Caenorhabditis elegans: one gene and its partner. The protein of the gene in region 1 interacts with the protein of each later gene in a pairwise test. Each region holds a gene or a part of one and is shown on either strand. Other genes may lie near its edges.

What was found.
Region 2: the proteins of mab-10 (region 1) and fbxb-61 interact in a two-hybrid assay, tested with the Caenorhabditis elegans proteins (one large-scale study listed by BioGRID).

Annotation. Positions count from the first base shown.
Region 1 is NC_003280.10:10,526,403-10,530,159, forward strand, and holds the start of mab-10 (NAB transcription cofactor mab-10), read left to right. Parts: upstream 1-1,681; 5' UTR 1,682-1,845; intron 1,846-2,970; exon of another isoform or gene 2,971-3,396; intron 3,397-3,757. UniProt on the Caenorhabditis elegans protein: Transcriptional cofactor. Heterochronic protein, involved in timing of a subset of differentiation events during the larval-to-adult transition.
Region 2 is NC_003283.11:19,302,554-19,305,913, reverse strand, and holds fbxb-61 (F-box domain-containing protein), read right to left. Parts: upstream 1,791-3,360; 5' UTR 1,789-1,790; coding exon 1,703-1,788; intron 1,660-1,702; coding exon 1,537-1,659; intron 1,491-1,536; coding exon 842-1,490; 3' UTR 624-841; downstream 1-623. Other genes in the region: fbxb-63 (F-box domain-containing protein), read left to right, coding at 2,186-2,271, 2,320-2,439, 2,512-3,127.

The DNA of each region.
Region 1 (3,757 bases):
ACCATATTATTGATTTTCAGAAGTTTCATAAAAAACTAGAGCACTTTCAAGTGTATATGGGTAATGAAGCACCCCACTAACTGTAAGGCAACGTTGAGGGTTCTCCGTACAATTGAATAGTAGAATTTGATACGTCAGAAGAAGGTAGGTACATAACATGGAAGTTATGCTGTCTGAAAACTAACATTTTGTCTGAAAATGTTTTGATTTTATTTTAAAAAACGTGTTGATACATACCTCAATTCCACCAAATCCTCTTGCATTCTGCCATGCAAACATATCAACATCCCACAAGTTTATGAACTTCTAAATACGAGTTTCCAGAACCAATCTCACGATGAGCCCTCAAAGTTTCTGAAGATAAAACTGTGAAGAAACTCTTAGTTACCAACTTTCCAGAATTTTCAAAATATTTTTTTGTAAAAACTATAACAATCAAATTGTTTACTACTCCAAATACAATAGATTCTGTATATTTTGCAGTGAGATGAAATTAGAAAAATCCTAAAGCATCAGTTCCATTTCGTTTTTTGATCAAACAACACATTATCAAAATCATCAGTCGGAATTTTTTCAGATGGATTAATCCAGAAGTTTCAAGAACCACGCCATCTGCTTACAATTTTGTTCTACGAATCAGTAAAAACCATTTTTCAAAATTTTCATTTTTATGAAAGAAGGTGTTTTCCAGGATTCAATCTTGGCATTACTGTAACGAATTATACTTTTGTTTGAAAACATGTTCAAATTATACTAATGATTTTTAGAATACAAGTATTTCAGCAACCTTTTCGCCGAAAAAACGCTTTTAACAAAATATATTTGGCAACTTTTGATAAAATCCTCTTTTGAAGTTACGAACATTATTGAATTCCACCACACATTTGTTTTGGTGAATTCTGAAAAAAAAATCGAATAAGATGAGTTTCAAAATAATTTTGCGGCCTTACTGTACTCAACAGTACTCATATCAATAACATATACAACATCACATATACAGTCTACAGTACTCATGTAGTACTTCTCCAGTGATTCAGCGGTTTAAAAAAAGTCTCACTATCCCAAACACCAACTTGAATCCCCCTTCTTCAACTGCTCTTCATGCCTTCCACTGCTTCTGATCATATCAATTGCTCTTCCAGAGACCTTTGGGCTCCTTGGGTCGGCACCGGACTGGTACCGCTGCCAGTAACACACAAAAAATGGACGCGGCCGAGGGCAGCAGAAAAAGTGCAGAAAGAGCAAGTAAAGCGAAGAGAGTGTAGACGCACTTTTTGTGCAGCAACACTGCCGTCGCCCCCAGGCAGTGCCAGCCATTTTTTCCCTCATGCGTCCCCCCGTGGTCTGTGGGGGTCACTTGCGCCCCCCCGGGCAATTCTGCCCTGGGTGTCCGCGACCGGTACCACCGCCGCTGAGAAGACGCCGCGCCACTGCTGATATCACTGAATGAGAAATAGTATGGAGAAGATGAGAGATTGCAGAGAGAATATAGAGTGTGGCTGCACTATTCTGGCTCTGTCTGTTCCTCTGTTCCTCTCGATTTCTCAATGCCTTTGCTTTTTTTTCAACGCACGCGTGTTCCCCCCTCCAGTTGACCTATGTTCTCTTAATTTTTTTCCTTTTTTTCTAGCGTTGCATATTATCAGTTATCACCTCCACCTCTATCCAACCACTTTTTTATTATAGACCCCGGCCTCACTGTTCCACAGCCTCCTGACCCGGTCGTGCCCGGACCTTGTGCGGCGCCAGACGCGAATGATATTCGGAGACACGGGCTGAATGGTTTCGTCGGTAGAGAACCACGTCATCCCGTTTTCGTCGTCTGCGGAGTTAGAACTGTATCAGGTAAGGTTTTTAGTTTTTTCTTTTTTTAACTATCAAATTGACTGAAATGAGAAAAGAACGGAAGGCAGGCAGGTCTCAGGCATGCACCAGGATCTGAAAACGCGCCTGCCTTCCACCAAAGCCTTAGTTTTGATTTGTTTGACTAGGAGGTCTAGAGTTCAGAAACTAACTATAAGGCCTCCGTGTCAGGAGTGTGGCAAATTTGACAATGGACTTTTTTAGTATTTGCCGAGCACGGCAAATTTGGCAAAATCAGCTAATCCACATTTTTAAAATTTGTCGGCTCGGCAAATTCGGCAAACGACAAACTCGGCGAATTTGACGCACACCCCTGATGTAGTACTTGCCGAATCGACCGAGCTCGGACAGTTTCCAGAATTGCCGGAGATCACTAGTTTCGTCCGTTGGGAGATACTGTAACTTCTAGATTATTAGTTATGAATGTCACTCTTCACTTTATGTCTATTTTCTCCATTTCTCCCATTTTTTTCTCGAACCTCCCACCTATTCCCCGTTGTGTCCCATCCGCCTGTTCGTCGTCGACCTTCTCTCCCTTCATCGCTTCCCAATTTTTTTTCTGTTCACCTCATACTGCGCGCATCTCCTCCCATGTCTACACTATTTTCATCAATTCATGGACATGTGCAGACAATTTCATGGGGGCTTTTTTTGCTAGAAGAATGAGCGTGCGCGCGCCAGCCTCGAAAAGGACGTTTTCGGAGCGGTTTTTCAGTTGGAAAAAGCGATGGAACGAGGTGAAGAAGAGGTCAAACAGATGGTGGTACTGTTGGATGAGAACAGCTGAATTGGAAGAAGGAGGAGGAGCTTGAGTTTTGATTAGTATGCTCTTATAGCTTCTAGACATCTATTTGTCCAAACAGGAAGAAAACTATCCGCCTAAATATTTTATCATATCGGTAAGAAACACCAAAACTTGAAAGTATTTCTGTTAGTCAGAAGTTAATAGATATAGGAGATAAGCTACCAAAATCTCTCTGAAGTCTGACCCCGATTACTGTAAATTTTGAACTTTCGTATCCCCAGACATCCACTTGTCAACAAAGGTCACTTTTTTGTCCCGTTCCTCCCAAGCCCATCCTGTGTATACACACACACAGTCACCTCAATCGTTCGCATAGTAAACCGAACATTTCAAATAATAATCGAACGACGCCTCTTTGGTTTTTTCATCGGTTCTTTTTCTCTCTAAATCTCCCCCGATTCCCGTACTATTCCCTCCCTCCTATTTCTCCATTCTCACCTCCCGGTCCGTCCCGCGTCCGAACGACCGAAGAAGCCCAGTGGCGAGAGACGTTTTTTGTAGGATTGTCTCTGTGTCTCTATGTTTTAAACGCTTTTTCTCGCCCAATGGTTTGCCGGTTTTTCTATGTTTCTTGTGTCGTCGTTTGCGTCCGGGCGCGCCGCCGAGTTTTTTTGACCTATAGTTAGATGTATGGGTGCACTCTTAGTTTAAGACACTATTTCGTCAGGGATGTAGATAGGCGGACGCTGGGGTTTTTTGAACAGGGATCGGGGGCCATACCACTCTCTTTTCTGTGTCGATATGTTCCCATTTTCTTCTCTTCTTCACTCTATTCTAACCTTTTTTGCAAACCTTTTTTATGACTTCGATAGGGAACCTACAGTGTTGTAAAGCAGTTAATACAGTAGTTCAGCATTTTTCAATTAATTTTCATTCTGGGAAAAATATAAATCAGCTTACAATATTTAATTTCTAGTAGTTTACACGTACCTTCTAATAATTGTTTGATATTTTCTCTTTAAGCATACAATCAGTGTGTTTTCTGTAGTTGATTATAAAAATAATATATACCAACTTGGCTCGGAGGTTTTGGAGGCAGCGTCCTGTAAAACTTTGACAGTTTACAACTTCCTGTCGAACTTTTGCAAC
Region 2 (3,360 bases), on another chromosome or scaffold:
ATTTTATTTGAAACATGCTCTTGTTTTTTAGTTAATTAATTAAAACGGAAATTTTTTGTTGATGAATTCATTTATATTCTTTGCTTCAATAAACAAATTTTATTTGAACATGTTCTTGTTTTTCAGTTAATAAAAACGGAAAAAACTACAGAAACTATAATAACATCAGAGGGCGAATGGTTGTGACGGCTAAGCTTCTTTTTAGAGATATCTCTTCGTCGAACCTCTGTTATCTATCATTTCCATCTTGCGAAAAATCATTTGCGTCTTGAAGAGTGCCGAATAAAAGAATCAAATGAATGCTAGTATTCTAGTGTCGCTTTAGTGTAACGGTTAAGAGGCTTAAGTTGAGTAAAGAGTAAATTATCTCGGGTTCGAGTCTAAGTGCTAACTGATGAAAAAATGGGAAGAATAAAATAAATAAAAAAGATTGAGGGTAGTAAGCTCACAGAATTGGCTCACATAGTTGGCTTTTTATATCTAATTTTAATATCAAATGACAAACTGCCATATTTTAGAATCAATTTCTCCCTAATCTCCGAATCTTTAAAAAACACGAAATCAGTTTATGAATCAGCTAGCCACATAAAATAAGTTTTTACCCCAATATATATGAATTGTAATTGCATAAAACATTTATTCATCGTAAAAATATCATACAAGTACAGTTTTGAAAAAGTTTTAGAAGCGGATGTTTTCAGAAAATTGTGTAGCACAAACAGCAGGAATGGAATTGTTTGATTATGGTCTTTAATAATTACATATTTAAGTATGTATATCATAATTAAAGTTGGTCAGCAAATTCAAAAAATGATCATAATTAAAGTGAAAAAAAAACAAATTATTTCCAAACGTGCATTGTCAAATTATCAATATCAATGACAACAGTTGCCCGTCTTCCATCACATCTGTAGATATCTTTTGCGCATTGAATTTTATACGATCTCCGTGGAAGATTGTCTAAGTCCTCTGCACATGTATCTTTGTGGTTCACACCCTTAAAAACTTTATCCACACGGTTTCTTGGTACTTTGAAAAGAGCAGATTCGAGTCCATAAAATCCTCCGTTTATCCAATGCTTTAGGAATATGTTTATTTCATTTGAACTCATGCGCAGCATCACTTCTAAGTGTGCACAGTTGACACTCAGAAGATCAGTGAGCCCGGAGGCAACAGTCAAATTCTGGCAGTGTGAGCTCAACATTGAGCGGTACCCTTTGAAATCCGGAAGAGTGATTTCAAGGGAGCCACTGGAAACCTTATTGAAAAGCTTGTGGAGCCAAACATTTGTAGAGACACATTCTAGGGTAGTTCTAGGAATTTCCAAGTCGTTAAGAGCTTCATAAATTGACTTCCAATCGTAATCATCACTGCTGACCATAAAATACTCAACTTTATCCGTATGGAGTACACACTGAGAATGATCCAGAAATGTTCTCAGATCAACTTCCAGGGGATTCCAAGGAATAAAATGATAATAAGGACTTATACTGCAAGAAATAGTCAGTAAACATGTTACAATGTGGTTTAACTTACTTTAACTTGGCTTGAACTAATATATAAACACTTTCATTAATGTAAAGCCAAAAGGGGTCAGTCTGAAGATTCAATGATTCTGCTGTCCGTTTTGTAGATTTTGAAATGAGGGAGAACTTTATTCTGAAAAGAACAGTTTTTAATTGAAATATAAAAGAGCTCTTACATTTGTTCTAAAGTCAGACTTTGAATCGCTATTCTGAGAGATTTCTCAGGTAGTTGGAGGATCGGGAAAGAGGCGAAGGTAGTCATGTAAGAGAGAGAGAGAAATAATAATGAATGGTGGAAGACTTGATTTTCTACGTGGCGATCTCACAGCTGTCGATTTTGACTGACTGTGAGCACTTCAAAACACTCCCCAAAGACCAAGGGTCCTTTCGACTATCTCTATACATAAATGAGAACAAGAGAATGAGTATCGATATTCGAACGCTTGGCCATATATATTCAATCAATCTCCTATCCTGTTGCCACCTTCGTATTTTTTTTTCCTTTCCACAAAAGAATTCATTATCGATTATATGACGTCACCTCCTAGACTCCAACAATTCGGTCACTTCCCACTTGCCATGTATATAGAAAATCGATAATTACTCTTTTGTGTGCATTTTTATCTAGGCACATTCATTATTACCTTTTGTCCACCATAATGACTACTACCACCTCCTTCCCAATTCTCCATCTCCCTGCAAAGTCTCTGAAACATGCAATTTGCTGTCTGACTCCAGAGGAAATGTAAGGCGTATAACTACAATTTAATACGGTAAACATTTTCAATTATAGAATCAAGTTCTCTCTGGTATCCAAATCTACAAAACGGGCTGCAGAATCGTTGAACCTCGAACAAGACATTTATTCGATTGACATCGACGAAATTGTTAGTGTAAATGTGGAGTGTGACTTGTGAGTTTTTTTTTTAAATTAACTTATATTAACTTCCAAAAATACTCAACCTAGCTAATGATATGTTTTCAGAATCAAATGGAACCCATTGGAAGTCGATTTAAGAACTCTTATAGATCATATTCAATGTGTGTTTCACACAAATGAAGTCAGTCATTTGCTTATTAGCAACGACAATCACGACTGGAAATCCATACATAAAGCTCTTGACGGCGTGAACTGCTCTAGGACATCTCTGGAAGTCCATTCTCAGAACATCTGGCTCCAGAGAATTGTTAACCAGTTTTCCAGCTGTTTTCTTCAACTATTTCTTTCGAAATCCACTTGGTATCATCCGATATTAAGCGCACACCGAATTCAATTGAATCTTTTAATTCCCTCCACTGATTTTTCCTGTGAGCACCTACATGTAAACCAAAAAATGAGTTCAAGGGATTTGAACTTATTTTTAAAACGCTGGATGAGAGGAGAGTACAAGTCTCTTAAAAGCCTACGCTGCCATGTGGGATCTGAGGCGAGTGCGGATGAGATTTTCAAAGACGTAAAGTATAAGGAAGAGAATGTCAAAAGTGTAATACAATGGAATTGGGGATTTATGAAAGTCAAAAGAGTCATCTACCGATTTGATGGAACACGGGCGACTTGTGTTCTGAAATATGGATATGTAACCTTCGACGTTTTAAAGTGATTTTTTTAAAGATATTCTTGTAATATTTCTTCGATGAATAAATTTGTTGCTATTTTTAATGTGTTTCAAACACCAAATGCACAGAAGAGAGGAATTATCGATTTCCTGAGTGGCGATTTAGTAAAAATAATTTTTTAAAGTTCGTAGTCCGTACACTCAAAATAAAAAACTGCGTGACGTGTACTGCAGAAAACCTAATATTTAGGCCCCGCCTTTTTCTTGTCCCCTCACGG